Linked DNA regions of Macaca mulatta. The protein of the gene in region 1 interacts with the protein of each later gene in a biochemical or structural test. Links are inferred from orthologs where the notes say so. Each region holds a gene or a part of one and is shown on either strand. Other genes may lie near its edges.

The links.
Region 2: the proteins of PTTG1 (region 1) and CDC27 form a complex in vitro, tested with the Homo sapiens proteins (3 studies listed by BioGRID). The link is inferred for Macaca mulatta from reciprocal best matches to the Homo sapiens genes PTTG1 and CDC27.
Region 3: the proteins of PTTG1 (region 1) and ANAPC2 form a complex in vitro, tested with the Homo sapiens proteins (2 studies listed by BioGRID, with this or other methods). The link is inferred for Macaca mulatta from reciprocal best matches to the Homo sapiens genes PTTG1 and ANAPC2.
Region 4: of the proteins of PTTG1 (region 1) and ANAPC11, one has a biochemical effect on the other in vitro, tested with the Homo sapiens proteins (3 studies listed by BioGRID). The link is inferred for Macaca mulatta from reciprocal best matches to the Homo sapiens genes PTTG1 and ANAPC11.

Annotation. Positions count from the first base shown.
Region 1 is NC_133411.1:169,276,595-169,284,844, forward strand, and holds the start of PTTG1 (securin), read left to right. Parts: upstream 1-3,136; 5' UTR 3,137-3,204; intron 3,205-3,587; 5' UTR 3,588-3,598; coding exon 3,599-3,689; intron 3,690-3,999; coding exon 4,000-4,184; intron 4,185-5,446; coding exon 5,447-5,540; intron 5,541-8,250. UniProt on the Homo sapiens protein: Regulatory protein, which plays a central role in chromosome stability, in the p53/TP53 pathway, and DNA repair. Probably acts by blocking the action of key proteins.
Region 2 is NC_133421.1:71,403,911-71,411,241, reverse strand, and holds the end of CDC27 (cell division cycle protein 27 homolog), read left to right. Parts: intron 1-1,682; coding exon 1,683-1,757; intron 1,758-3,014; coding exon of another isoform or gene 3,015-3,033; coding exon 3,034-3,190; intron 3,191-4,606; coding exon 4,607-4,689; 3' UTR 4,690-5,044; downstream 5,045-7,331. UniProt on the Homo sapiens protein: Component of the anaphase promoting complex/cyclosome (APC/C), a cell cycle-regulated E3 ubiquitin ligase that controls progression through mitosis and the G1 phase of the cell cycle.
Region 3 is NC_133420.1:5,263,219-5,271,443, forward strand, and holds the start of ANAPC2 (anaphase-promoting complex subunit 2), read left to right. Parts: upstream 1-4,139; 5' UTR 4,140-4,157; coding exon 4,158-4,274; intron 4,275-4,586; coding exon 4,587-5,209; intron 5,210-6,505; coding exon 6,506-6,638; intron 6,639-7,825; coding exon 7,826-8,000; intron 8,001-8,225. Other genes in the region: TPRN (taperin), read left to right, coding at 41-281, 370-476, 561-623; microtubule nucleation factor SSNA1, read right to left, coding at 2,791-2,898, 3,424-3,623, 3,913-3,964. UniProt on the Homo sapiens protein: Together with the RING-H2 protein ANAPC11, constitutes the catalytic component of the anaphase promoting complex/cyclosome (APC/C), a cell cycle-regulated E3 ubiquitin ligase that controls progression through mitosis and the G1 phase of the cell cycle.
Region 4 is NC_133421.1:91,558,284-91,565,484, forward strand, and holds the end of ANAPC11 (anaphase-promoting complex subunit 11), read left to right. Parts: intron 1-469; exon of another isoform or gene 470-659; intron 660-739; exon of another isoform or gene 740-978; intron 979-4,863; coding exon 4,864-5,009; 3' UTR 5,010-5,142; downstream 5,143-7,201. UniProt on the Homo sapiens protein: Together with the cullin protein ANAPC2, constitutes the catalytic component of the anaphase promoting complex/cyclosome (APC/C), a cell cycle-regulated E3 ubiquitin ligase that controls progression through mitosis and the G1 phase of the cell cycle.

The DNA.
Region 1 (8,250 bases):
AGCAGCTTTCCCCGCTCGCAGTCCGGGGATCGCTCAGGGTCTTCAAGGCCACCGCCACAAAGGTGACACTCTCATAGTTATCCCGACTGTTTCCCTGAAGACGCAGGCCTGGTCTGGCTGGGCACGAGTGCCATCAATGGGGCTCAGGACAGTGGCTTCCTTTTCGGTCCGCCGTCCTCGCTCCCTCCTCAACAACTGAGGGCTCATTACCCCCGTGAGGACATATCCAATAATTAGGAGCCTTCGACCCATTTTCTCAGGTTCCCCAATTCCCCTTCGCCCGAAAGTTCTAAAAATATTTTCTTACCCAGTCCCGCCGCAGCTGGTCTCAAGTCCATCCGAGACAAGCCAATCTCGTAATGTTTACTTCCGGCTTTTCGCCTCATTCCGGCGGCCACTGCGGTAACTTCCGGACGATCGGCACATGCGCACTAATTTCCTGGTGGGACGCGGGAGGAGTGGAGGCCTTTGGTCCTCTTGCGCCGTGGGAATCGCGAGAACTCTAGCTGTGCTTATCGCGCTATTTACCCGGCTTGTGGAGAGATTCAAGTTGGGCGGGTTCTTTTAGCTTCTATTTAGGAACTTTCTTTTAGAATCGGAGAATTTTAGGAAGTTAAAAAAAAAAAAACCAAAACAGACAAGAGCTTAAGCCTCACCAGGGGGCTGTGAAATGAATGCAGAATTTGGTGATGTATCAGCTTAAAAAAAAAAAAAAAGGCAGTTAAACTTGGCAGTAACTAGTAGCCAGGCTGTGTAACATGCTGGGGATCTGGTGAACACAGTGTCTTCCCTCAAATTTACATCAGAGTGCGAAAGACACCGAAACAACTATTCAGGTAATTTAGCAGTTGTAAAAGTTGCTATGAAAGGAATACCGGGTGCTGTAAGAACATAAGGCACGTTATCATTAGGAAAAAACACGACGATTTCCATTTTGGAGAAACATTAGTATCTATGCTATCCCATCCCTTCTTTAAAAGTATACATGTGAAATAAAATACTGGAAAATAAACTAATTTTCGTAGTAGAATTTCTTGTGATTTTTTTTTCTTTGTGCTTTCTATTCTGGTTGTTCTCCCCCTCCCCCCCCATAACGTGTATCGTTTTTGAATGTAAAAGTTAAAATAGCTACCATTCCTGCCTCAATAAAATAGCCCAACATAATAGAATCTATTTTTTTCGTATTAACAATTTGCAATACCTGGAGTTTAGGAGCATAAATATTAATTCTGCTTTTACAGGGCAGTAGATGAAGAAACAGAGACTGGCGTGAAAGTGAGTAGAGTCTATAAATCACTCAGGCTTTGTTTTTTTCCACTTAAAAACATTCCTGAAATTTGCTTAGGAGTGTTAAGGTCTAATTAGCCAAAACCACCAGGAGAGCACATCTCGAAGAAGAATCAGAAAGCCCAGGACAAGAGAGTTGAATCTTTTCTAAGACTTGAGGTCCCTCTGGAGGATTCTGAGGAAGGTCTAGGAAAGCCGGGATTGGTTCTGGATGGGTTGCTGTTTGTAAAGCAGGATTAGGAGAAACTGATTAGGGACTAAGTGCTGTTATGAGTGAGGGTGGTTTAGCAATTGAGTATTTTCAGTAATAGTAATAGCAAAGCTGGTCTGAGGGCATCATTAGTAAGAAAACAGTGGTTATTCAAAGAGAGGGTGGTTATGGTTTACAGCTGATGCATGGCCTTGGGAGAAACAATGCTTTCTGTTGGTGAAACAAAGAAGACATCCTAAGGAGATAAACCTTGCACCCCAAAACTTCTGTAGATAGAGAATCCCCACTTCGAAGCTATAGGTGTTGTAAAGATTTAGTCTCAAAAATTAACACTTTGAGTGCTGATAATATAATATGATGATGTAAAATTTAGGAGATACAGGAGGAAATAAGGGGTGGGAATAAAGGAAAGAGAGCAGTGAAGGGACAATAAAGGTATGCATATTTTTATGTCTTTCCTCTTTTCTTCACCTTAAGTTAGGCTCTTTTCTTCTTGATACCTAGTATAAAGTCCACCATTTAATAGGTATTCAATAAATATTTGTGAATGAATGAATCATTCAATCAATATTGGTCCTGAAATGCCAGGGAAGAAGAGATGATGAACTGGCATATATTGAGAACCATGTCTATGTCAGGTATAGTGTTAAGCCTTTTGTGAAAGAGTAATATGGAATCAACTCCTCTCTCTCAGCTGATCTGCAGGTATAAAATGTATATATGGTGACCTGTGGGAAGCCGAGTTTGAATGACACAGGTCAGCCCTATCTTTTGAATGTATACCTTTATCTTGTGGTTGTTCAGTGTATTCCATTTTACTATAGAAACAGGAAAAGGTCGTCAACTTTTTCAAGCAAAATTTCTTTTCATATCTGGGAAACTGGAATTCCTTTTTTATATCTTTATTATCTCTCTGATGTTCTCTTGCTCCCTGGCCAAGCTCTTCCAGACAGCTTTGGTTAGTGTATTATTGAGATCTTAGAGGTTTAAAATAAATCAGTATTAAATGATAGGATTTTAAGGGAAGACTAAATTATGTATTCATTAGAATCATAATTTTGTTCCTAAAACAGATTCGTGATGGTATAACAGAAACAGCATCTTAGCCTGAAGTATTGAGGATAATCCTCAGATTAGGGAATGATTAGTTCGTTCTTAATCATAAGCATAAGAGAATGACTCAAACGCTGCTGTTTGATCTATCTGTACTTAAATTTCTTCTTAATTTTAAATTTTTCTCTCCTAGTATTCTTTAGACCCAACGTTGGTTGTTTCGACCATTTCTACAATATTTCTATTTATTTTCCATCCTTTCTACGGTGCCATTTAAATAAATATATCTTAAAGCAATAAAACATTGTTATTGAGTCAGTACCACAGTCCATGCAGCTTAATAATATGGAGAGCAAAAAAAAAGCCTCTCAATTTTTTTTTAAAATATTACACGACCCTAGATTTTTTTCCCCAGAAAACGTGCCACAAAGTTTGCAAGAAAGAGCTTTTGGGGCGGAGTCCTGGCTGCTTAGGTCCCTTCCATTGGTTCGGCTTGGTGACCACGCCCCCGACCCCGCCTCTTGAGCGGAAGAGCCAATTGGGCCGCGAGTTGTGGTTTAAACCGGGAGTGCGCCGCGTCCGTTCACCGCCGCCTTAGACGAATGTAGCTGTTGGAAGCTGCGTGAGTGAACTGGAGGGTTGCGGCTGGTTAGGTGAGCGTGGTCGGGTGGGGAAGGAGGCGGGCTGGGGCTGGGCTGGGGCTGAAGCTGGGGCTGGGGCTGGGGTTGGGGGACTGCCTGGGGCGTAGATGGCTCCGAGCCTGTTTGAGCGCGGTCTCGGACTGCGAACTGGACCCACGGCAATTCTCTGAAGAGTGCCAGCCCCAAACCGCCTGCTCCTTGGGACCTTAGAGCCTCTGACTCAGGCTGGAAGATTTGAGAGCTGGATTAAGTACTTGTTGGCTCACGCCCGTGACTGTCCCGCTGTTTAGCTCTTGTTTTTGTGTGGACATCCCTAGGATAAAAACTTTGGTATGTTGCTATACCTTTGCTTCTCCCACCTTCCCCAGTATCTAATATGTATTTCTCATTTTTAGAATAATCCAGAATGGCTACTCTAATCTATGTTGATAAGGAAAATGGAGAACCAGGCACCCGTGTGGCTGCTAAGGATGGGCTGAAGTTGGGGTCTGGACCTTGTAAGTACACAAGGCTGCAGTCGGATACACTGCTATTGTGTACGTGGCCTGGAGCTGGACGAGACATTTAGTGTACTTTTTGGGCAAATGGAGTCAAGTCTGTTATTGGTCCTTTTTCATTTTCAGTATCTTAATGAGATGATTTATGGGAGTACTGAATCTCAGCTATTAGGCCTATCGTAGCCATACCACTACCAATAATGGGGGGTGGGTTTGGGGGTGAGAGTTAGGTCAAGTTTACATACACAGTATTCAAGTTGTACAGGTATTTTGCTGCTGGAATATTCTTATAGTAAGACTTTTTCTTCAGCAATCAAAGCCTTAGATGGGAGATCTCAAGTTTCAACACCACGTTTTGGCAAAACGTTCGATGCTCCACCAGCCTTACCTAAAGCTACAAGAAAGGCTTTGGGAACCGTCAACAGAGCTACAGAAAAGTCTGTAAAGACCAAGGGACCCCTCAAACAAAAACAGCCAAACTTTTCTGCCAAAAAGGTAAGTGTTGGCTATAAAGACACTGTTTAAACACTTAAGCGCTTTTGACTCTTAAAATGACGATTGGCATCATCCTACCCAGCTTTCTTCCCTCTGAGTAGAAGGGAGATAGAGGTTAGCAAGCAGAGTAGTGGAGGAAACTCAGATTGTCCTTGTGGACCTCTTGGTGCCTTGAGATTGGAAATCTCAGATGCAGCTAATGCATATTTGTCCCTCACCTGTCCTTAACTAGTGTCTTAAAACTGGTTGGTGGTATCTACTTACAGATACGTACTGAGCGAGAGGGTGCCTTAAGAGGTTCTGTTGCTGCTATAATAGCACAGGTGTTGCCATTCTCCGCCTAGCCTTCCAGGGCAAGCAGCAGCTTGTTAGGTGACAATTTGCTAGCATGTTGATGTTTGTGTGAGTGTGGGTCACAAGCTACAGGTCTGTGTATCCCAGACTGAGAGCACTTTGCTGTGAAAGATGACGTTAGCATGAGGATTAACACTTTATTTGAATAACTGTTTTGTTTAATTTGCATTAGGAAACAACTGGTGAATTACATGTAGTGCAACTTAGGACAAGGATGTCTTTTTAAAAAAGTGAATTAACTTAAAAATATTAAATACAGGAATTGCAAAGATATGGCAAAAACAATGAGACACAGAACCGAAGTGTGGGAACCCCATAGGGAGTTCTAGGCATGCTTATGTGAGGTGAGATAAATCAGGAATATGCCGGCTTCCATTGTAGCACCCTTCTGTAGTAGACTGTAGTAGACCCGTCAACTCCAGACTAGGAGATTGCCCATGGCGTTTTTCTAAAGTCCTTGACAGTGTCTTGCTGCCTCTTACTCAGTGTATTTGAGGAACACAAACTTGTTTTTAATATTAACCAAGTACATAATTAGGTAACACTTGCAGAAAAATCACACTCCTATAAGCCAAAAATGGCTTTGATGATTAGCTACTATCCTGGGTGATTCATGCCCGTTTTCTCCTCTGTTAGGTTGAATAATTGCGTTGATTAGCTCTGAATTAACTCTGCATTCTTGATAACTTACGCTGACAGGTGCTGGTACTTACATTTCAGATTTTAACTTTTGAGTCATGCTACTCGAATTACATTTGAATCATATTATTTGAAGTATATTTAGGTGTAATTATGAAAACTAAGGATTATGGCTTCTTAGAAGGCAGCATGAAATTGACAAATTTAAAAACTAATCAGCTAATAAGACATCCACTCTCACTAACCCATATTTTCTTTGGCTGTTCTAGATGACTGAGAAGACTGTTAAAACAAAAAGTTCTGTTCCTGCCTCAGACGATGCCTATCCAGAAATAGAAAAATTCTTTCCCTTCAATCCTCTAGGTAGTATCTTTTGTAATTGCAAAAAGTGCTTTTGGCCTTTAGTTTCTTAGTATTCAGCTCAGCTGTAACTTGATATGAATATAATATATGACCAAAAACTATAATGAGACTGTCTGAATCTGGGTCGTTTTGGACAAATGTACTTGTTGATGGAATTATTTGCAAGGTATCATCTTAGATCAGGAGGGGAATAGGAACAAAGATACAGAAGACATTGTTCCTGTCTGTAAAAGCTTATCACCTAGAGGAGGTAAGATGTATTCATGAATATTGAATAAGTCCCATTGTGGACAGTCTTTCTCACAAGCCTTTTAGAAAGTGAGCTTTATGTCAATGCCTGAGAGTGCTTTGGTAGGATTATTTCTTTGGTTAGAAAAATCTACATAAGACAGTGAAGACGTGTTTTTCAAATTTCTTCAACCTGCTACATGTATCTGAAGTATTTTCTGTTTTGGAAACAGCTTTTCAAGCTTTAATTTACTCAGCCATTTGAGGAGAAGCCACTGTGTGTCAGGCATCGCTAGGTGCTGGACACACTGTTTAACAAGATGGGCCCTGCCTATGGGAGCCCACAATTTGAAGGGAAAGTCAGATGCTGGACAAGCCATCTCACTGTGAGTGTGAGCCGGAAAAAAGAGCATTGTAGGTCAAAGTGGTGCAAAGATCCTGAGGTAGGAAAAGGGACTGAAGTGGTTCTAGGAAAAATACAGGCACGGTGAAGGAGGATACAGGTGAGGTGTGGGGGCAGATCAGGGAGGGCCTTACAGATTTCTGAGCTGGATCTTTTACCCTTTTATTTAGCCAAAGAGGTCATGTAGTTATTCTTTTACTAATTTGCATTCAGATTGTTCTGGCTTTTAGAAACTAGAAACATTTCTACGATTAGTATTCTTGAAATGATCTCGTTGCAAGTTTGTGAGTACATCAGGAGGGAAACTGAGAAGGATTGCTGGGTTCGAGGGTTTGTGTGATTAAGTTTTAAAATTATAAAATGTGGTGCATCGTGCTAATAATTATCATTCAGCCATTGGGAAAAATGAGGTAGATTTATGCATATTGATCAAGAATGAAGACCACAGTATCCTGTGTTAGAGGAAAGAGATATTGCTAAGTGGCCCTTCAAAATAGTGTAAATTGTTAAATCCATCTACAGTGGATGAAGATGGCTGCTTCCTCCATGTTCACTATCAATGTTTTAAAACTCTAATCTTTATCAGAAAAGAAATATTTTATTGTTTTAAATTTGTGTGGTGAGCATATTTGATTATTGGCCACTTAGTTTTTCTTTTATTAACTTCCTGTTTGTGTTTTTCTTTGATTAAAGAGCTCTTTGTAGATAAAATTAGCTCCCCTTAGATTGCAGACTTCTTTCCTCTGGAGTCTTTTGTCTGTTTATGATTTCCTTTACAATTCAGTAGTTTTAAGCTAAATAGTCACATATCATTCAATTCTTTCTTGACTTCTGGGTTTTACCAGGCTTGAAAAAGAGCAGACTAATTCTTGAGTACTTAGGCTTTAGAGAACTTTCATACCTAAGGACAAAGATTTAGAAATTAAAACTGAAAAACTTAAGATATTCACTAAGTAATCACATTACATTAATGTAAATTTTTTTTAACATAAAATATTTGTTTTGGAAAAGTTTTGAGAAGAATGGCATGGTTTCTATTTTTGAAAAATATATGAAGAAAACCTGACCTCACACAGATATGTTTTTAATAGTCTTTTCAGATAAGCGTGGATAGTTTTCTTTGCCACTACACTAAAACCCACAAGTGGCTGTTTCTGAATATATAATTGCAATGTGGAATCTGAAAGCATATCAATGAGCATTTTGTATCTTGACAGTAAAATCCATCGGTCTGTTTTGCACTTGGAGTGTATCTTTTATTCTTGCATCTATCTTGCATTGAGCATTCAGAAATATTGATTCACTGAGATATGTAGATACTCATATGTTGAGATTATATAATATCAAAAGCACATTAATATCACAACTGATCTCATCAGAAAAGTCTAAGGCACCTGTCAAGCTAATGACTGCAGTTAAGTGTTCCAAAATTCCTTCTTTTGGCCAGACACAGTGGCTCATGCCTGTAATCCCAGCACTTTGGGAGGCAAGGCTGGCAGATCCCCTGAGGTCAGGAGTTCAAGACCAGCCTGGCCAACATGGTGAAACCCCGTCTCTACTAAAAATACAAAAATTATCCGGGCGTGGTGGGCGCGCCTGTAATCCCAGCTACTTGGGAGACTGAGGCAGGAGAATTGCTTGAACCCGGGAGGCAGAGGTTGCAGTGAACAGAGATTGTGCCACTGCACTGCAGCCTGGGTGAAAGAGTGAGACTGTGTCTCAAAAAAAAAAAAATTCATTTTTTGGTTTTTGACAAAATTTTGACATTTTATATTCTGCCGTTGGTAACAAAGCCTGTCAGTTTTCCTTGAGGTGATGGACTTCTTTCATGCCTTTGAGAAAAAGTGTGACAGGCATCCAGGTCTGAGTGACCATGGGATTTCTTGCAGTTGTTAATTCAAGTAAAAACAGTATTCCAGGAAAAAGTTCTCTAGTTTTAGCTTGCAACTCAGACAATTGCACAAATCCTTTTGCTTTGAGATAATCGTATTTTGGTGTGCAGTGGAAGTGCTTTATGGCATACTTCTCATTTTATCACATAGAACATTAAAAAGACATCTTCTCAAGGATGGAGAGCTA
Region 2 (7,331 bases), on another chromosome or scaffold:
AGGAGGCTGAGGCAGGAGAATCGCTTGAACCCGGGAGGCGGAGGTTGCAGTGAGCCAAGATCATGACACCGTACTCCAGCCTGGGTGACAGAGCAAAACTCCATCTCAAAAAGAAAAAAGATTTCTTTAAAGTAAGGCCAGGCGCAGTGGCTTACACCTGTAATCCTAGCACTTTGGGAGGCCAAGGCAGGTGGATCACCTGAGGTCAGGAGTTCAAGACTAGCCTGGGCAACATAGTGAAACCCCATCTCTACTAAAAATACAAGACAAGGCCGGGCGCGGTGGCTCAAGCCTGTAATCCCAGCACTTTGGGAGGCCGAGACGGGCGGATCACGAGGTCAGGAGATCGAGACCATCCTGGCTGACACGGTGAAACCCCGTCTCTACTAAAAAATACAAAAACTTAGCCGGGCGAGGTGGCGGGCGCCTGTAGTCCCAGCTACTCGGGAGGCTGAGGCAGGAGAATGGCGTAAACCCGGGAGGCGGAGCTTGCAGTGAGCTGAGATCTGGCCACTGCACTCCAGCCTGGGCGACAGAGCGAGACTCCGTCTCAAAAAAAAAAAAAAAAAAAATACAAGACAAAATTAGCCAGGAATTACAGGTAAGCATCTGTAATCCCAGCTACTTAGGAGACTGAGGCAGGAGAATCACTTGAACCCAGGAAGCAGAGGTTGCAGTGAGCAGAGATCGCACCACCGCACTCCAGCCTGGGTGACAGAATGACAGTCTGTCTCAGAAAAAGAAAAAGATTTCTTTAATGATTCTCAGAAGTGGTCTGGGAACTTCTGGGGGTCCCTAAAATTATTCTAAAGAGTCTTAGAGGTCAGAGCTATTTTTACAATAATGTCTTGACATTATTTACCTTTTTCAGTCTTCATTCTGTCCCAAATGGACAGTAGAATTTTCCAAAAGCTACATAATATGTGATATCAAAACAGATTAAATGGAGGAGATAGATGTGAGAATCTAGCTGTCTTCTACTAACAGAGACTTGCAGAAATGTTAATGCCACTCTTCTCAATGACTTTTTGTTGTTCTGAAAAATTATATAGTTATTTTTCATTAAAAAATAAATCACTGGGCCAGGCACGGTGGCTCACGCTTGTAATCCCAGCACTTTGGGAAGCTGAGGCGGGCAGATTACTTGGGTCAGGAGTTCAAGACCAGCCTGGCTGACATGGTGAAACCCCGTCTCTACTGAAAATACACAAATTAGCTGGGTGTGGTGGTGCATGCCTGTGATCCCAGTTACTCGGGAGGCTGAGGCAGGAGAATTGCTTGAATCTGAGAAGCAGATTGCAGTAAGCAGAGATTGTACCACTGCACTCCAGCCTGGGCGACAGCGAGACTCCTTCTCAATAAATAAAAATAAATAGATAGATAGATAGATGACCAAAAGCAAGGATTGTCACCACCTGCATATTTCACAAAGAGGGGTGTGTGTGTGTGTGTGTCTGTGTGTGTGTGTGTTTTCAGTGTACTAGAGTGCCTGCTATTTCTTAGTACTTACTTTAAGTATGCGTTTTATTTTCACAACAATAAGAACTAATACAATAAGGAAGTATATTGATTAAGATTTAGTTAGCTTTTATGAAGGTGATTTGGGAAATCAAATAAAAAAATTGCTTGGTCAAAACTTTAAAAATTTTTGATACTTTAAGGTTTTTCTTTGCCTTTTTCAGTCTGCTTTACAAGAACTTGAAGAATTGAAACAAATTGTTCCCAAAGAATCCCTCGTTTACTTCTTAATAGGAAAGGTAAAGACTGGGGCCGTGGTCCCAAACAGTGACTTTCACAGCAAATATTGACATTTTATAAGAATAAATTTAATACTTACTGTACAATATCTATTGAGCAAATTCAACTAAAGCTCCAAACTGAGTGCTCTGGGAATAACAGATTTGGTTCTAACACTTGAGAAAATGATATCCTAGCTGGGCACGGTGCCTCACGCCTGTAATCCCAGCACTTTGGGAGGCCTAGGCAGGTGGATTACCTGAGTCAGGAGTTTAAGACCAGCCTGACCAACATGGTGAAACCCGACCTCTACTAAAAATACAAAAATTAGCTGGGCGTAGTGACTCATGCCTGTGATCACAGCTACTCCGGATGCTGAGGCACGAGAATCACTTGAACCCGGGAGCGGAGGTTGCCGTGAGCCAAGATCACGCTGCTGCACTCCAGCCTGGGCAAGAGAACAAGATTCTGTCTCAGAAACAAAAAAAAAAGAGAAAGAAGAAGAAGAACATGAATGGCACTGTGTTGTCTTGATTAAGAGAAATGGCTTCTGAGAGTCCCAAGGCCAGACTAGTCAGTTTTTTACAGACTAGACCCCCATATGCCAATTAGTTAAGGTGCCTGTAGACAGTTGTTAAGAGTTGATATAACTCAATTTAAAATCACTGTAAATGAAAGTTAATTAAGCAATTTATAATCCATTTAATCCCATTATCATTGTTCCAGTCAGAGTGATATTTATTGGAAACTTACTACCTGAAAGATAGAAGCAAGGAATTCTGAAAATAATATCTGATTATATGAAAAGGAACTCAAAAGCTGGTATGAGTTCATCTGTAGGAAGAAAATGTCCTACCGTTAGAATAAGTTTAGATCACATAAATCAGGAGCCTAGTTTAAATTATAAATATTTAGAACTGTAGAGACTGGGCACTGTGGCTCACGCCTGTAATCCCAGCACTCTTTGGGAGGCTGAGGCAGGTGGATCACCTGAGGTCAGGAGTTTGAGACTAGCCTGGCTAACATGGCAAAACCCTGTCTCTACTTATAAATACAAAAATTAGCCAGGAGCAGTGGCGGGCACCTGTAGTCCCAATTACTCAGGAGACTAAAGCAGGAGAATTGCTTGAACCTGGGAGGCAGAGGTTGCAGTGAGCCAAGATCGCGCCATTGCACTCTAGCCTGGGCAATAGAGCAAGACTCCATCTCAAAAATAAATAAATATATAAATATTTAGAATTTTATAGTTGAAGCTCACAACTTAATGAAAAATGTAGTATTGCTGTTTATTTTTAGGTTTACAAGAAGTTAGGTCAAACGCACCTCGCCCTGATGAATTTCTCTTGGGCTATGGATTTAGATCCTAAAGGAGCCAATAACCAGATTAAAGAGGCAATTGATAAGCGCTATCTTCCAGATGATGAGGAGCCAATAACCCAAGAAGAACAGATCAGTAAGTATCACACATATGATTTTGAGTATTTAGAAAGTTACCTTTTGCATAAGGATTTGTAGGCTACTCCTTTATTTTATTTTTCTAACCGTGGTGTTACCAAATGAACTTTTAGGGAAATTGAACAGGGTGATATAATAACAAAATGCATATAAAGTCAGATAATTAGTCTCTGTTCTGGATCTAGTTTGCTGTGTGACTTTGATAAATTCATTGCTAATTTTTACCTGGGCCTCAATTTATGTTTGAATATGTAACCAGTAGTGTTTTATTTGCTTCCTAAGAATGTAGTCTTTTAAATAAGAGAATAGAGAAATTTCTGACAAGGTAAATTCTGATTAGATGCCTTTGTTCCAGAAAACTTGGTGAAAACCTTTAATTAAAATTATAAGCCACGGGGCCAGGCACAGTGACTCAGGCCTGTAATTCCAGCACTTTGGGAGGCGGAGGTGGGTGTATCACCTGAGGTCAGGAGATCGACACCAGCTGACCAACATGGTAAAACCCCATCTCTACTAAAAATACAAAAGTTAGCTGGGCATGGTGGCAGGCACCTGTAATCCCAGCTACTCGGGAGGCTGAGACAGGAGAATCGCTTGAACCCAGGAGGCTGAAGTTGCAGTGAGCTGAAGTCATGCCATTGCACTCCAACCTGGATAACAAGAATGAAACTCTGTCTCAAAAAAAAAAAAAATTATAAGCCAGGCATGATGGCTTGTGTATGTAATCCCAGCTACTCAGGAGGCTGAGGTGGGAGGATTGCTTGAGCCTAGGATTTCACGACGAGCCAGTGAGACCCTGCTTCTAAACAAATTTTTTAAATTAGCTGGATGTGGTGGTATGCATCTATAGTCCCAGCTACTTGGGAGACTGAGGCAGGAGAATCATACCACTTGAGCCCAGGAGTTTGAGGCTGCAGTGAGCTATGATTGTGCCACTTCACTCCAGCCTAGGTGACAGACCGAGATAGATGATTGATTGATTAATAGATAGATAGATAGATAGACCCCATAAACCTTTTGAAACTGAAGGTTATAGTCTATGTTTCTGTGGACTAGCAGGAAGTATTCTTAAAGTGGAGTCAGTGATTGGAGGTTGGGGAAATGTCAATTTTTTTTTTTTTTAATGTCTCAGAGAACTAGCTAGTTGTAATTCCTAGGGCAGGAATAAGGAACCCATTAGGGAGAGGCAGTTTTGGTAGTTAAAACCTTAAAAGTAAAATGCAGTAAGCTAATGTCAGACCTATTACAAAGTTAGGAAACTTGAGTTGCATTTTATTAAAGGATATGAGGATTTTTAAGGGCCTTTATTTAGGGTTTTATCTCTCTGAATATAATACAATTTTTCTTGTTTTCGTGAACCAACAGGATATGTTTGTCAGAAACCTTACTGTAGACTTTTGTTTTATTTTTAAAGTGGGAACAGATGAATCCCAGGAGAGCAGCATGACAGATGCGGATGACACACAACTTCATGCAGCTGAAAGTGATGAATTTTAACTTCTGGAAATCGGACTTTTACAACTGGATGTGTGACTAGTGCTGACATGTTTCTTGTCCCTCCATATACTGAGTCTTTACTCTTGAGCCGGCGGTGTCATCATCCATCACTTATACCATGAGTGTGCCACTTTCATTGGACCCTGACTGTATACGGAATGAAAGGCAGTGCAATATTTAGCTGCTAACAAGACTGGCTCTTTTACCAGTATGAATGACAATTTATGGGGGGTAGGGTGGGGACTTTCTTTTCTGTTTTTCTTTAATCTCCCTTTGTTGGAAAGTATCATGAAAGGAAGAGTTATGTTTTATCTTGAAGGAACCATTAGATATGGAAAATAGTGATGAACCAGAATTTCTTGGTTGCTTTCTCAAAAATTTGTTTTTATTTGGTTCTGTTCCTGATAAACAGAGTAACTGACCGTCATTTCTAGGTTCTTCAAGAATGGTGTTTGCAAGTGCCAGATGGAACAATAAAAGACGTTGCCTATAACAGTAACTTGATTGCCAAGGAATGTAAATTACCTTCAACTTGCAGTGTCTCCCATAAACAAATGTAATGGGCATATTGGGATTCGTATGTAGGAATCAAATATCCCTCCATACAGTGTACACTTATTCTTGGCAAGAATGCTTTAATGTCTAACCAAGAATTTTAATTTATTCATCTTGCTTCAAAGTGTTGATCATTGTTGTCTTGGTATTGCAGACTTTAAAATTGGTTCATACCATATTGCCTCTTCTCTTTGAGCTCTGTGGGATCACCTTTAACATTCAGAGATGATAGAGTGGTTCCCCACTGAGAAGCCAAAACAAGGCCCTTAATAATCCCTTAAGTTCACCATATCAATCAGAATGAGAACACTAAAGTGTAGAGACTTTAAGAGATCATGATAGTGAAAGCCTTAATATAATCAGAATTGTACCATAACCTTGAATCTATATTTGTTCAAAACATTATCCCTTTGACTTTTCTAAGTGTTTGCTTAAGCAGAGTGTAAGAATGTGCGGTTATCTTTGGTTGAGATCCTTTCCATTCTTTTTGACTCTCTGCTTCAGATTTTTTCAGTAGTGTGAGTCACCAAAACATTTACTAAGAATTGGGTTTAGGATATTGGAAATTTTTAGCTTGGGGGAAGAAACATTCTTAAGAAGGAGATAGGTTCTCTTCTGAGTTTGTCATAATATCAGTTGGTGTCTTTGGGAAATGGCCACAATTTTAAGAATTTAATTATGCATATAAATTGATAATTATTGGAATTCCACCATAACAGATTTAAACAGTCTTAAATTGTTTATCTCCTTTATTGTAATGTATTGAAATTTTAGAGAAACTTTAGTTGTTAACATTTTATTAAGTGCCAATGTCAGAATATAACAAATTATAGTTTCTTATGAATGACAGGCCTACAGTTATTATTTTGGATTATTTGATGAAGGACAACCTTACCTGTATTTGTTAGTCAAGCTGTGAAAATAAGGTGGATTACAAAAGATGTGAAAAAAATTTTAGCCTGTAGACTCAGTAATTTTCTATAATTTACTGTTAATCTCATTTGAATATGGATTAGGTACAATTATAAATTAATTCAAGTCAGGGTGTTTAGGTATCAGGTGCCAGAGAAATATTTAACAGATTTCCCTACCTAAATTTATGTATATGTACTGTCTAAAAAAATACTTTTTAAAAAAAAGGAACAGTTGGGAGAAAATAAATGTAATGAAAAATTCCCAGAGGCTAGCACTTGGATTCTAACACATATGCTATTGTATTATCCATTAGTTCTGTAATATGTAATTTTAGATTCTTTTATATTTTTAATTGGCAAAGCACAAGGTGCTGTGTAACAGTGTCATTTAGAGTTTTATAGAAAGCTTCAACCTGAGTTCTGCGTTATAAAGCCTGGAGAAAGCTAAGCTTAGAACATAATTTGCTGAAGTATAATTATCTTTTTATAGTAGGAATTTATGTCCTGTGCCAGAGGTGAGAGTCTTTCTGGTACTGATTTTTTGAGACCAAGGATAAAAGGATCGTTTTGTAAGACACGCCATGGCAATGGCTGGCTGGGGAACAGTTTCCGCCCAAGCTTGGCCTATTTTATTTTTCCTCATACCTACTTTTAAAGTCATTAGGTATCTGAAGCCTTATTTCCCACCTTGTAACACTTTCTGGCTTTTACAGTTTCTTTTTTTGTTTTGTTTTTTGCATGGAATGGGGATCAAACAACCAGAAGAAGAACACATTTTGATCAAGCAAAATGTTTGTTTCAAACATCAGAAGTTTATTTTACAGAAATTAAATTAAGTAGTTTGACATCCTTTTCTCTGTTTCACACATATATTAGGTTGGTGCATAAGTAATTGTGGTTTTTGCCATGACTTTTATGGCAAAACCTGCAGTTACTTTTGCACCAACCTAATACATATATATGCACACACACTTGTTCAGAAGCTATGCTGTGGCCTTGGATTTGTTTTTCCCCTTGGAAATGGTTCTTAACTCTGGGATTTTAGAAGGTTAGAATATTTTTTCAAGAGAACAGTGGTACTCAAAATAATGAAAGGTGGTCCCTACATTTTCTGTATTCATCACTTAAAATTTTTGATTTTTCCAAGAACTACAAGTAACATTTGAACCATGC
Region 3 (8,225 bases), on another chromosome or scaffold:
GTGGGCCCTCAGCCCTGGTTCATGTGACTCTCACTCCCAGATGAAGATCTCCTTCAATGACAAAAGCCTGCAGACCACATTTGAGTACCCCTCCGAGAGCTCCCTAGCACAGGAGGAAGAGGTGGAGCATGAGGAGGAGGAGGAGGAGGAGGAGGAGGAAGAGGAAGAGGAGGAAGAGGGTTCCGGCTCAGAGGAGAAGCCCTTTGCACTCTTCCTGCCCCGGGCCACGTTTGTGAGCAGCGTGAGACCCGAGAGCTCTCGGCTGCCAGAGGGCAGCTCAGGTGGGTGCCCACCTAGGGGGACAGGCAGCCTGGGCGGGGTGGAGCCTGGTCTGTGTCCACATGTCCACGTGTGCATCTCCGTTCACAGGCCTGTCCAGCTACACCCCGAAGCACTCTGTGGCCTTCAGCAAGTGGCAGGAGCAGGCACTAGAGCAGGCCCCGAGGGAGGCAGAGCCCCCGCCCGCAGAGGCCATGGTGAGCTGCAGGGGAGGGGAGCGCTTCGGGGAGTCTGAAGCCTGGGCGAGCCCATGTGTCCACATTCTGTTCTCTCACTTTCAGCTCACACCTGCCAGTCAGAATGACCTCTCGGACTTCCGCAGCGAGCCAGCCCTTTATTTCTGAGCCCAGCACTGCCAGGACCAAGGCTGAGCCCCAGCTGTGGGAGTCCCGGAAGCTGGGCAGTAGCCAGGGACTACTGCACCCACTTCTGCCTTGTCTGGTCTCACCGTATTCCACCCACCCCTCCTGGCCTTGGAAGCAGCCAGGGTGCCTCCTGCCATTGGGACCAGGTCTGGGTCTCACTCCCCGGCCCTGGTTTGGGAGGGCCCAGGCGGGGAGTGGGGTGGGGAACTGCCTGTGGGTGAGGTCAGGGGTCTGCTGGGTGGTGGCCATCTGCAACCCGGCAGGGGACTGTGCAGATTCTACACCTGGCAGTTCCCTGTCCTGTCTCCTCAGCCTGCCTCCCAGCGGCCATGGGGGGTCTGGGGTGAAGGGCTGTCCCAGCTACTTGTCCTCTGCAGGACCCTAAGCCCCTGCCCGCAGCCCCCATGCCCTCTGTGATGAGTGGCATCTTTCCTGCCTCTGACGATGGACTCAATAAACAGCACTGGACAAGGCTGCTGGCATCCCCACTGCGTGGTCCTTGGCTGAGAGGGGAGCAGGGGCAGGTCTCTGCAGTAAGAGGCCACATGGGGTCCAGTGGGCCCCAGCTTGCACGTCTGTGCCAGGGTGTGTGGGAGGGGACCCCAGTCTGGTACCCCCACTCCTTGATGTCCCAGTGGCCAAGGCTCTGACCCCCCAACTTCTACGGCCTGTTAACCTGTTGCCCCTCCACCCCAGCCTCCCAGAGCTGGCACTGTGGGAGGTAGGATGCCAGGCCTGCTGTCAGGGGCCTAGACTTCAGGTGGGAGGGTGAGTGTTGCAGCTGTTGGGCCTGAAGTGACTTCTCTGAGGGGCCCAGAGCCTGTGGAGGGACCAAGGGAAGGGCAGCATGAGGGCAGCACAGGGTACAGTGTCTCCTGCTGGGCTTGGCGTGCCCCCTGACCCCCACAGGATGAGGCAAGTGGGGATCAGCACCTGCCCGGGCAGCCAGATCTGGGGCTGTTTACAACCCTCTGAACCCAAGCCCCGTTTCCTCCCTGGAGAACCAAACCATAGAGCAAAGCGCTGCTGTCTGGCCAGACTCCGGTGGGAGAGTTTGGTGTATTTCCCTGGTTGGGGGGTGGGCCCAGCTCTTTTCTGGACCCTCTGGATCAACACACGCTTCCCAAATAGGCCCAGTCCTCAGGCAGTGCTTGGTTGCTGCAGGGACAGAACAGAGGCCCCAGGGCACGCAGAAGGATGGAGGTGGCCAGTGCTTGGCATGCGGCCAGGGAAAGGGGCAGCAGGGCCTGGTGGCAGCAGTGGTGTCATCAGGCCAAGCAGGACTTGCAAGGAGGAACTGGTGGGGGTAGGGGGTGTGAAGCCCCCCAGTCCTTGCTGAGAGAGACCTGAGTCTGAGGCAGCTGCTAGATATGCTTGGCATCCCTAGCTGTCTCTCTGGGCTGGGTCCTATGCTGGACACCAGGGTGTGGCAGAGAACAGGACGAGCGAGCAGAGCTGAGAGGAGGGTGAGCCGTGGGCCAGTCAGGGGAAGAGGACCAGCGGCCCTGCTGGGGAGGGCCGAGGGTGGCGCTGGCCTGGGCAGGGTGGGCACCCTCAGCGGTGTCCCTGAGGCTAGTTGGGCAGTCATAGGGAGACCACTCCAGACGCCTCCTCCCTCCTTTCCCAAGGGGGAGCCTCAGGCTCTGGCTCTGCGGGTGTCTGGCAGCCCCACACTGTTGACACGGGCAAGCAGCAGGCTGGCACGGACCTTTACAAAGATAATCTTTATTGATAATCACAGGCCACAGGGGTGAGCCCTGAGGTTTGGGTTCTGGGGTGAAGGAGAACCCCTGTCCCCTGCCCTGGGCCTCTGCTGGCTGAGGAGGGACAAGCTGAGGGGGCCCCCATGGTGCTCAGACAACCAGGGCCTCCCCAGCAGGGCAGGAGTGTGGGTGCCACAGAGACAGGCCCTTTGCAGAGCTGACCTGGAACCCACCATCCCCACAGCCCGTGTGAGCACGAAGCCCCTGGGTGGGCTGTGCCCTGGCTTGTCAATGATGCCAGTAGAGGCTGGCAGCCGCCCCTCTCGGCACCGGGGACAGTGAGGGAAGGCAGCTGCTGCTGTGAAGAACAAAGACGCTCTGAGGACAGACTTGTCGGGGCTGAGCTGAGGGGCGCACAGAGGCAGGCCCTGCCCGTGGTCTGGTCAGCTGTCCCTGCCACCGCTACTTTTCTGGTCTGAGGCTGTAGCCTTGGTCAGGTTCCCAGCTTCCCTCTTGAGGACGCTGAGCAAAGTCTGGGAGCTCTCCAGAATCTGGGGCCAGAGAAGTGAGAAAGTTGTTACTGTTCACCTGCTGGGAAGTTCCTAAGCCCCAGCTGTCCTCACACTCAGGTTCTGGGACCTGGCTGTGGGTGCTGTAGCCAAGGGATCCTGTGCGGGGGAAGGCGGAAGCCCAAGGGGACTGGCAGACGGGGTAACAGGGCCCTCTTCCCTCCTGAATCTGACCCGGAACACTTCCTCCCCACCCTCAAAGCCAGGCTGGGTTAGCACTGGCCCAAGACGTGGCTCTTCACACTCTAAGCAAAAAGAACCACATGGCTAGCGAGAACCGGATGAAGACCAGGACCCAGGATGCCCCAGGTCCCCCAGACAGCCCCACGGTCACTCCCGCAGCAGCCTGGGTTCCTCAATGGGCCTGGCCACGCTGCTCCTGCCCGACATGCCAGCGAGGCACAGACTGCCCACAGCTGGGAGCCCCAGACGGTCCTGACGCCCTGCCGCGGCTACACCCCTGCCGCGGCTATCCCCTGATGCTCCGCCTGGCCTCCCGAGCTCCACCTTGAGGTAGGCGGCCTCCGTCTCCGCGATGGTCCGGTCGAACTCGTTGCGAGAGGCAATCTTGCGTGCCAGGTTCTCGTTGACGCGGGCCAGCTTCTCCGTCAGCTGCCTCACCTCATTCTGCAGCCGCTGCTTCTCGTCCTCCTCCTCCTGGATCTGCCGGCACAGCTCTTCCCGCTTCTGGCACAGCTCCTCTATGCCTGGGGGGCCGGGAGGGGCGGGGCTGTGGGCCCAGGGCAGGAGCGCGGCGGCGGAGGGCGGGCCTCCTTCCACCCGAGGAAGCCAGAGTCAGGCACCACCCCCGAGCACCCGGCGCGGGGCCTGCGAGCCAACGAGGGCTCGGGGCCACGGACACCCAGCCCCCGGCACGGAGGGCTCTGCTCAGCTGCGCGATGCCCGCAACTAGGCGGGTCCAGGGGCACCCCGCTGCGAGCCGGGAACCCGGCCCTGCGGCCCTCCCGACCTCCCCGTCCCGGCTGCGCCGCTCACACTTGACCAGCTCGTTGTTGTAGTTCTGCAGCGCCGCGCCCTGCTGGGTCATGGTCTACGCCGCCCGGGGCCCCGCCACCCCAACCGACGCGGAACCAGCGCTGTCCGCGCCTGCGCACGACTCCCTGACGGCGCGCCGAACTACGCGTCATCGCTGAGCGCCTTGTGCGCGTCATGGCTGCGCGTGCAGACTTGCGTCATCGCTTTGCGCCGTGCCGAGGGGATCTCGGAGCCGGTGGCTGCAGATGGCGGCGGCAGTTGTGGTGGCGGAGGGGGACAGCGACTCCCGGCCCGGACAGGAGTTGTTAGTGGCCTGGAATACCGTGAGCACCGGCCTGGTGCCGCCAGCTGCGCTGGGGCTGGTGAGGCCTGGGAAGAGAGCGGCGGCCCCGCGCGGAGTTTCCGGGACCCTATGCACTTTGGGGCGGCCACCTTCGGGTTCATACAGCTCTGTCCGTCATCCGCCTCTGGCCTGTCCTGCCGCTTTCCACCGCCATTCCACTTCATTTCGTTCAGCTCCGCTGGCAGCCCTTCCCTAGTTTCGGCCCAACGTCCGGACACCACGGACAGGGGGCAGCGGAGTTTTTGCAGCCTACCCCTCAGCTTCTTCCCTTCCCCGCCTCTCCCCACCTCTATGTTGTGTTCCCCTCGCTTCACGGTTTTCTGCGCTCCAGGTGTCTTCCCGGACCAGCGGTGCAGTCCCGCCAAAGGAAGAGGAGCTCCGGGCGGCGGTGGAGGTTCTGAGGGGCCACGGCCTGCACTCGGTCCTGGAGGAGTGGTTCGTAGAGGTGCTGCAGAACGATCTGCAGGCCAACATCTCCCCTGAGTTCTGGAATGCCATCTCCCAATGCGAGAACTCTACGGATGAGCCCCAGTGCCTTCTGCTGCTCCTTGACGCTTTTGGCCTGCTGGAGAGCCGCCTGGATCCCTACCTGCGTAGCCTAGAGCTGCTGGAGAAATGGACTCGCCTGGGCTTGCTGATGGGCACTGGTGCTCAGGGGCTGCGAGAAAAAGTCCACACTATGTTGCGCGGAGTCTTGTTCTTTAGTACCCCCAGAACCTTCCAAGAGATGATCCAGCGTCTGTATGGGTGCTTCTTGAGAGTCTATATGCAGAGTAAGAGGAAGGGGGAAGGGGGCACAGACCCGGAACTGGAGGGGGAGCTGGACAGCCGGTATGCCCGTCGCCGGTACTACCGGCTCCTGCAGAGCCCGCTGTGCGCAGGGTGCAGCAGTGACAAGCAACAGTGCTGGTGTCGCCAGGCTCTGGAGCAGTTCCATCAGCTCAGCCAGGTCTTGTGAGTAGTCTGTCCTGATGGCCGTGCTCTCGCTCCTACTGGTTGCTCCCCTGGGTCCAGCTGGCCTCTGCAGAAAGCTGGTGAGCCGTCCTGATAACCAGGAACATGACAGAGAGAGAGTCCCTGGGGTTCCTGTGCAGTGTGTCCTGGACACAGGTGTCTCTCTTCTGTCACTCACCTGCAGTCCCACGGATTCATGCCTTGCCCGTGGTAAGGCCCTATGTGGCTTTTGTCTGCAGCAGCAAATTTCTTAGCGACTCCAAACTTTCTGAACTCTGCAGAATTCCACTGTGACTTTTGTCGACCCTGAGGCAAGGAATGATTCTCACCCTCGTCGACATTCCTTGCCCCGTAATTGTGAACAGAAGCCTGCTGCTGCTTCTCTCCAGGGAGATCAGGTCACTGTGAGGGCAAGTGGTCTCCTGTCTGGTTCTCTGGAGAGGAGAGGGTTTTGTTGTGAGAGACAGGTCCTGTTGTAGTCCTCTAGCAATTGTCACACCCTCGGCCATTTGTGGTGGCTTTGTCACATTGAACAGAGGTATGGCCACGCAGCTATTTGAGAGGTCTTAGGTGGACTAAAGGAGTGGTCCTGTTGCTGGCAGAGGTCAGGGTGACCATGAGGGGCTTCTGTTGGGCTCATCCCAGCAAAAGTTACACAGCAACCTTTCTCATTCTCCTCTGGAGTCTTTTTGCCACTGTAGACCACAGACTGCACTGAAAGGCACAAACAGTGGCATCTGTGTCTCTGGGGCCAGGGCAGCGGTGCAACTGGGTGTCGTTTCAGAGTTGATCCTAGGAGATAAGGGTAGGGCCCCTGACAGCCACACCTGCTGCCACTGATCACATGGGGAAGTCCAGTGTCCCTACCTGGACAGAGGCCAGCTGGGTGGGGACAGCAGAGCCTGGGAGTGCTCTGTGCTCCGAGTGGCTTCTTGAAGCCTTTGGTACCAGCGCTCCAGGCCAACCAGGCAAGGAGAGTGGCTCTGTGCTGTCCTGGCCTTTCCCCTGACAAGGAACAGACACTCCCCAGGGCTGTTCAGTGGAGAATGTGTTGGATTGAGGACCTTGACATGGCTGCCTGGAAATTCCTCAGGGGTCGCAGAGGCCCTGGTTCGGGGCTGGCAGGCACAGTGGCCCCCACAGCTGAGGATTGTGGGGAGGTGCGTGCTGGTTGTGGGGGTGTGCGTGTGTGTGCTGCATGCACTCTACAGGCAGGACCGTCCTGGCATGGGGCTGTTCTGGGCTAGAGGGGCCGGTGTGTGCTGTGGGTGCCCCATGGCTAGGACTCTCCTCTAGACACAGGCTCAGTCTGCTGGAGCGGGTCAGTGCCGAGGCTGTGACCACCACCCTACACCAGGTGACCCGGGAGAGGATGGAGGACCGTTGCCGAGGCGAGTACGAGCGCTCCTTCCTGCGTGAGTTCCACAAGGTGAGGGCCCCTCCTTTGGGCTGTGCCCCGCTGGGGACAGGGGAGTAGGTTTCTGGCCAACCTGACACCTGGCTTTGGAAGCATCCAGAGCGTGGAGGCCTGGGTTGGCCTGGACCGGGTGGTGGCTGGAGCTGTTTTGATGTCGGGTAGAGACCAGTACTTCTGGGCCCTGGTGACAGCGAGGACACGTCTGAGGTGCGCTCACCAGATCTGCTCAGAATCCCATGGCTGCAGTCAATACCGGGCCAGGGTCCCCAGGGGCTGCCCCAGGCAGGTGTGACGAAGCCAGGCCCACCAGAAGGGCCAGTGAATGGACCCCCTTCTCCTGTTTGCTGCCCTACTTGAGTGTGGACTTGCTTGGCCGGTCCCTCATGGACTGACCTACAGCCGGCCTGCACCACAGCGGGGGCGAGACACCCTCACATGGGGCCTCCAGGCCTCTGCACTGTTGGGGTGTGGTCTGGGGCTCTGCTCTGGGCTCCCAGGGCCATAGGGGAGCTGGGCCCACCCCTGTGGGTCCCCCTACCCTGTTCCCACATGTCACCTGTCCTTTCCTCAGTGCTTCGGAGTCCACCTACTGAGGTGCAGATTGGCTGTGATGTCAGGCTTTCAGAGAGAGAGGGCGTCCCCGCAGCGGTGGGCAAGAGTGGGCAGTCGGGTGGAGAGGGTGAACATCTGTGCGGTCTTGTTACTGGGTAGCAGGTCTGTGGGATGTGTGCACGCCTGGGACCCCGCGGTGGAATTGCCGTCTAGGGGTTTGTGCTCACTCAGAGACGCTCTTGCGATGTACGGTGTCATCTGCATGGCGGGGGAGTGGGGGCTGGTCACATGTTTGGTCTCAAGAGCGTGTTTATCCATTTAAGTGGGGGCAAATGTGCCCGCCAGGCACAGCGCACAGGCCATGTGTGTCCATCACGTCTTATGCTAGGGCTGCTGTTGCCAGTGATAAGTGTGGGCACTGGTGCGTGTGAGAGGCATGAAGACCAGAGGGGGGCCGGGACATTGCCTTTTGGGCCATCACCCACCCTGCAGGTTTTGATGTGCTTCCGCCTCCAGACACAGGTGGCCTTCGGGCTCCCCTTGGTCCTGGCCGACACAGTGGGTGGCTGCGAGGCTCCTCCCAGCCTGTGAGTCAGCCTGGGGCTCACCGTGCCTTCCTACAGCTCACGCTAGCGTTCTCCCGACAGTGGATCGAGCGGGTGGTCGGCTGGCTCGGCAAGGTGTTCCTGCAGGACGGCCCCGCCAGGCCTGCGTCTCCTGAGGCTGGCAACACCCTGCGCCGCTGGCGCTGCCACGTGCAGAGGTTCTTCTACCGCATCTACGCCAGCCTGCGCATCGAGGAGCTCTTCAGCATCATCCGAGGTTGTCCCGCCCCGGCCTCGGGTCCTCTCTCCTGTCTGGGGAGCCTTCCCAGGGCCTTCGCCGCGTCTCCTCTGTGTCTGCGTCTGGGCTCCCCGTGCCTTCGCTGTCGCTCTTGCAGGGGGGTGCACCGGGCAGGGCTGGGACCCTCCCCACCGTGGGTGTCCCCTATGCCTGGATCAGGGCAGGTGTGGCAGATGCTGGACGGTGCTTCTAGGTGTCCACTGC
Region 4 (7,201 bases), on another chromosome or scaffold:
TGAGTGTCCCCTCTGTGCTGTCTGAGCTGCCCCGGCTGTGAGTGTCCCCTCCGTGCTGCCTGCTGCACTAGCCTCGGTGGCTCCTGTTAAACCTGCATGACATCCCCACAGTTCCTTTTCTTTTTTTTTTTTTTTTTTTGAGACAGAGTTTCGCTCTTGTTGCCCAGGCTGGAGTGCAGTGGCGCAATCTCGGCTTACTGCAACCTCTGCGTCCTGGGCTCAAGCGATTCTTCTGCCCCAGCCTCCTGAGTACCTGGGATCACAGGCGTGCGCCACTACACTCGGTTAATTCTGTATTTTTCAGTAAAGACGGGGTTTCTCATGTTAGGCTGGTCTCAAACTGTCAACCTCAGGTGATTCACCTGCTTCAGCCTCCCAAAGTGATGGGATTACAGGCATGAGCCACTGCACCCCCCCAACATTTTCATTGTCATTTCATGAAGAAAAGTTGATAGAAAAAAAGCCAGGTGGTTGGGACTCATGTTTGTATAAAGATCCTGCACAGACTTGATAGCATGAAACTCAGCTGTGAAATACGTGGGATTAAAAAGGGATTAGAGGCCAGGCGGGCGGCCTACACCTGTCATTCCAGCATTGTGGGAGGCCAAGGTGGGCGGATCACAAGGTCAAGAGATCGAGGCCGGCACGGTGGCTCACGCCTGTCATCCCAGCACTGTGGGAGGCCGAAGCAGGCAGATCACAGGGTCAAGAGCTCGAGGCAGGGTGTGGTGGCCTACACCTGTCATCCCAGCACTGTGGGAGGCTGAGGGAGGCAGATCTCAAGGTCAGGAGACCATCCTGGCCAACATGGTGAAATGCCATCTCTACTAAAAATACAAAAATTAGCTGGGCATGTGGCGCGTGCCTGTAATCCCAGCTACTGGGGAGGATGAGGCCGGAGAATCGCTTCAGTCTGGGAGACGGAGGTTGCCATGAGCCAAGAGCAAGACTCCGTCTCAAAAAAAAAAAAAAAAAAGATTAGTTTAAACTTTTTATTTGAAAATTCTCAAAATTGAATGGTATAAGCTAGGTGCAGTGGCTCACGCCTATAATCCCAACACTTTGGGAGGCCAAGGCAGGCGGATTGCTTCAGGCCAGGAGTTCGAGACCAGCCTGGCCAACATGGCAAAACCCTGTCTCTACTAAAAATAAAAAAAAATTAGCCAGGCATGGTGGCAGGCGCCTGTAATCCCAGCACTTTGGGAGGCCAAGGTGGACGGATCACCTGAGGTCAGGAATTTGAGACCAGCCTGGCCAACATGATAAAACCTCGTCTCTACTAAAAATACAAAAAAGTAGCCGAGCATGGTGGCGCATGCCTGTAATCCCAGCTCCTCAGGAGGCTGAGGCAAGAGAATCGCTTGAACTTAGGAGGTGGAGGTTGTGGTGAGCCAAGATCGCACCATTGCACTCCAGCCTGGGCAACAAGAGTGAAACTCCGTCTCAAAAAAAAAAAAAAAAAAAGTTTGATTACATTTAGGTTGAAAGCAGAGTTTTGTATCAGCAAAATGGTTTTTCATGAGACCAAAATGAACGTAAAGCAGAAGCAAGGGTCAAGGTTTTGCCCAGGGAGGACAAGAAGAACTCCCCCGAGGACAGTGGGCAATGGAGAGGACAGCGGGGAATGGGGAGGACCGAGAAGCTCCCTACTATCCCAAGTAACCAGGCGTATTTTTGTGGGGCCAGGTATATGCCCATATTGATTGACAGGGTCTCACTATGTTGCCCAAGCTGGACTTGAACTTCAGCAATCTCACTGCCTCAGCCTTGCAAGTAGCATACCACCACACTCATCTGGCTTTGCTTTTTTTTTTCTTCTTTTTTTGAGATAGAGTCTTGCCCTGTTGCCCAGGCTGGAGTACAGTGGCACCATCTCAGCTCACCGCAACACCCACCCTTCTGAGTTCAAGGGATTCTCCAGCCTCAGCCTCCCAAGTAGCTGGAATTACAGGCGCACACCACCACAGCCAGCTAATTTGTTATATTTTTAGCAGAGATAAGGTTTTACCACGTTGGCCAGGCTGGTCTCAAACTCCTGACCTCAGGTGATCCGTCCACCTCGGCCTCCCAAAGTACTGGGATTACAGGTGTGAGCCACTGCGCCCACCCCTGTCTTTGCTTCTTTTTTTTTTTTTGAGACGGAGTCTCGCTCTGCCGCCCAGGCTGGAGTGCAGTGGCGCGATCTCGGCTCACTGCAAGTTCCGCCTCCCGGGTTCCCGCCATTCTCCTGCCTCAGCCTCCCGAGTAGCTGGGACTACAGGCGCCCGCCACTGCACCCGGCTAATTTTTTGTATTTTTAGTAGAGACGGGGTTTCACTGTGGTCTCGATCTCCTGACCTTGTGATCCGCCCGCCTCGGCCTCCCAAAGTGCTGGGATTACAGGCTTGAGCCACCGCGCCCACCCCTGTCTTTGCTTCTTTAGGTGAAGTTGAAATGACTGAATCTTAGTACAATTTTTTTTTTTTTTTGAGACAAGGTCTTGCTCTGTCACCCAGGCAGCAGTGCAGTGGCAAAATCATAGCTCACTGTAGCCTTCAATTCCTGGGCTCAAGTGATTCTCCCACCTCAGCCTCTCAAGTAGCTGGGACTGTAGGCAGGCTCCACAATGCCTGGCTAATTTGTTTTTTAATTTTTTGTAGAGACAGGGTTTTGCTGTGTTGCCAAGGCTAGTCTTGAACTCCTGGGCTCAAGGGATCTGCCTGCCTTGGCCTAGCAAAGTGCCGGGATTACAGACGTGAGCCACCATGCCTGAACAAAACTATATAAATTTTTATTTTTATTTTTATTTTTTTTTTGTGTGGAAATGGAGTCTCACTGTATTTCCCAGGCTGGTCTCAAACTCTTGACTCTGTCCTGCCACAGCCTCCCAGAGTGCTGGGATTATAGGGGTGGTGCCTGGCCAGTACAAATACTTGTTATTCTAGGCTTAACTTTTACATTGGCTCTAGCTAAACAGAAATCTTATTATTCAGGAATTAATCCTCATTTAATCAAATGGGTAGGGTGTAATATTAGGAAATTATTGATTGACTCTGCCTGATTGGATTTGTACTTAATAGCTAATTAGGTTAATAACTAGGCATTCACAAGGCATGGTTTTATTTGATCCCTTTTAAATTGCTCTTAAGGATGTAACAAAGACAGCACGGGGTGCTCTGAGGGCAGTCACTCAACTTCTGGAGCAGCAGGTTAACTTCTGAAATTCCTCCAAACCATGTGTCCACGCCTAGTCTGGCTGCATCTGTGGGCCAGATGTGGGTGGTGAATCCTGTGGATTAGAGGCGGCACTAGGCAGCCCCCGACTGACTGCAGTGGAGGGTCCACAGGCAGCCTGCAGAGCCCGGCCTGCACCATGCCAGCTGGGCCTGTGATGGGACATCCAGAGGGGTGCTACCCTGAACTCTCAGCATCTCTCCACTGGCACAGTGCGCTCAGACTTTGTTAAAATGGGGCCTGTTGGCTGCACACTAAGGAGTTGAGAGTCTGATTTTTGGACCTGCTGATGGTTAAGTTATAGTGAGTCAGTGTTAACGTGCAAAGCGTTTGACAAGTCTAATGTGCTTCTGGGCTAAGCAGCACCAGGTTTCTTTTGCTAAAATTGAACTCCTTTGAAAAATTCAGAGTGGCTAAGTTCAACAAAGACCGTGGGAGCCCGAGGCTGGTAAACAGTGAGTCTATCCCGCATCCCAGAGGACTCTTGTGGCAATGCAGTTTTGCGGAGAGGAGTTTTAATTTAAAGAAATGCAATCAGGAGATCAGCAGGTCCTTGAATGAGTCAGCCTCAGTGCATCTGCGGACTCATCAGACACCCCAGGCCAGCTTCGGGTGGGGAACGCACGAGAACCAAGCGGCACCTTTGTCTAACGGGGCCTCTCCTGCGCACTCAGACCCTCTCCTCAGGGGGCTCGCAGGCTTCGCTCTCATTTGAAAGGGGTGATTTCAAGCAGAGTTGTGCTGAGGCTAGAAAGCCCCCATGGGCAGGTCCTCCCAGGGCTGGGAGTGGGCATGCTGTGGGGCCGGTGCCGCCAGGACAGGAGGGCGGCCACGAGCTCCAGCTCCACAATGCCAGACCGACCCTGCCACGGGGCTGGGGCTGGGACTTGCTGTGCTTTGCTGGCAGCAGCTGTTTCATGGGGTTTTCCAGGCTCTTGGAGATCAGGGACACTTGTTTCTCTTGATCATGGCTTATATGAGTATCCCTCTCTGTCAGGCCCTCTCCATGGAGAAAGCATTTCTAGGTGTTTGGGCTGGTGCCCGCAGCCTGTGCCTGTCCTGGGAGGCAGGGCCCATCAACATGGCGTCCCCAGTGCCTGGGCGGCACCCCGGATTCCTGAAGTCTAGGGAAGGGTCTTCTAGGTCCCCAAGCCCCACCCCTCATGCCCTTGATCAAGAGACCAGTTCACTACTCAGATGTGTGTCTCCTTGGTGCCTTGACCATTCATGTGACCTTTTTGGCATCACAGATCAAGTGTCTGCAGGTGGGCTCAGGGCCTGTAGGTCAGACGTTGCCCTTTTTCCCCAGCCTCAAGCACGGGACAGTGGTCTAGACCAGAGTGCCTCCTCCCGGATGCTGCCTCCTCAGCAGGGTCCCTGGGCTCCCCGCTGAGCATGATGAGCCTGAGCCTGGGCGTGGTTGCCTGGGGTGGAGGCCTCATGTCTGGCATAGTTGCTGGTCTTCGCCTGGGGGCAGGCTGGTCAGGAGACCGATTGGGTAACTCTCCTGATTTCGGCTTCTGTGAAACATGAGAGGCTGCAGGGCTGGAGCCACTGCCCAGGGTCCCAACCTGCACCCCTGCCTGGCTTGTCACATGCTCTGTGTCCAGCCTGGTCATGCCTGTCCTTTTCCCCGCCTCCCCTCTGTAGGCAAGGTGCCTGGCGACGACTGCCCGCTGGTGTGGGGCCAGTGCTCCCACTGCTTCCACATGCACTGCATCCTCAAGTGGCTGCACGCGCAGCAGGTGCAGCAGCACTGCCCCATGTGTCGCCAGGAATGGAAGTTCAAGGAGTGAGGCCCGGCCTGGCCCTCGCTGGAGGGGGTGTCCCGCGGCCCCTTCCTCATGCTGGCGCTGATGGCTGCGGTAGCTGCTGCTGGGGACAGCGCCCCTGGGCTGTAACAAGGTGGAAACAAGGGCTGGAGCTGCGTTTGTTTTCCCATCACTATGTTGACACTTTTATCCAATAAGTAAAAACTCATTAAACTACTCAAATCTTGCTGGAGGCCGCTGGGTGCCTGTGTTCTCAGCATATTGATGCGGTCTCGGTGTGTTTTGATATGAAAACTCTCATGAATAAACATCTTCGTGAAACGCTGTCAAGGCACTCATCAAACCCTGAGTCACAGCTGGGAGGAGAAGGAGCGGGATCAGACGGTAGGGCCTGAGGCATGCTCTTGCCTGCTGGATGGCCGGGCGGCCCTGGACCCTCCCTCGGGCTGGCTCTGAGGGACTCTGGCTGTGCACAGCTGGCAGCTGCTGCTTGTGGTACCCCCAGACTGAAGGCCACCATCTCTAAGCAGGCGTCCGTGTTCTCACTGGGACTGTCTGCAGCTCCTCGGTGGAGCTGGGCCTCCCACAGTGTAGGGATCGGTGTCCTGACACTGGGAAGTGTGTCCACACATGTCTGAGGCTTCCCTGCCTACGAAAGGGTGGCCCTGGGAGGCTCCTGTGCTCCCCACAATTGTGGGAAGGGGCCACTGGGGGAGCGGCAGCCCTGGGGTCTCAGGCTGCTTCTGGACAGAGCGCAGGCTGTATCTCTAGTAACCTGGGGAGCCCTTGGCATTCATGGGGCCAATGTCCTGTGCCCAGTGTGAGCCTGTTGACACTTCCTTCCTCACAGCACCCTGGGGAGTAGACCAGGCCTCCCCTGAAATCTGTGTCAGATTCCCTGGAGAGACAGGACTCTCTATATGAAGAGTGTATATGAAGAGTTTATTGGGAGCATTGACTCACTATCACAAGATGAAGTCGCACAATAAGCCATCTGCAAGATGAGGAGCAAGGAAGCCAGTCTGAGTCCCAAAACAGAAGTAGAGAAGCCCACGGCTGTGGCCAAAGGGCAGAGAGCCCCCGGCAAGCCACTGGTGTGGGTCCAAGAGTCCGAAAGCTGAAGAACTTGGAGTCTGATGTTCGAGGGCAGGAAGCATCCAGCACGGGAGAGAGATGGAGGCCGCACTCAGCCAGTCTGGTCTCTCCACGTTCCTCTGCCTGCTTGTCCTCTGGCTGTGCTGACAGCTGATTAGGTGGTGCCCACCTGGATTGAGGGTGGGTCTGCCTCTCCCAGCCACTGACTCAAATGGGAATCTCCTCTGGCAACACCCTCGCGGACACACCAGGGACAATACTTTGCATCCTTCGATCCCATCAAAATAACCCTCAGTATTCACCATCACACCTGGGAAGCACGGAACCCAGAAACAAGTACCAGGGCCCCAGTGCCAGTGCCTGTCCTGGCGAGATATCCAAAAGAAGACGTGACCAGGACCTTGGGGGAGCATGAAATGGTGAGGGCACAGTGAGCCTGAAGGCGGATGTCACCTGCCAAGAGAGCGGCTGGCAGTCCTGCCTGGTGCCCTTCCAGGGGCAGAGCTGGCAGAGAGGGGCCTCCAGGAATCGTGGAGCCCCAGTGCCTTGGTGTGGCTTTCCTGAGGTCAGTGCCTGACCTTGCCCCGCTCCCAGAGCACCCCGTCAGTAGCAGCCCTGCTGGTGGAACCTTCCCCGAAGGGCATGAAAGAAATGAGGGCCCCACAAGCCACAAGGACTCTGATGCCTGGAGCCAAGAATACCCCTCAGGGTGGGAAAAACCGCCCCCTGGGCACTGTGCAGTGTGGCTGGCTCTCCCGCCTCAGGAGTACTGGGGACTTCCTGGGGGACGACTCCTAGCGCTGAGCGCCCGTGGGCCCTCCCCTGCTCCCACTGAGGCCCACGCAGGCCGGGCCTGAAGGACGCGAGCGGCGTGGGTGGGGAGCTTGAGGGGGCGTCGGGCTCCGACCAAGCGGCAGATCCCCGCGCGCCTCGGGCGCTCACCCGTGCGGCTGGTTCCTCTGGGCTGCGCAGGTGCGACGGGTCCTCCGCGCGCGCCGGCTGCACCCCCAGCCCGCCCGCCGCCCCTCCCGGCCCCCCGCAGCCTCGGCCCGCCCCCGCCGCAGATATAAGGCGGCCCAGGCGGTGGCTGCTCCGAGCCCCGACGCCGCCGCCCGCCCGCC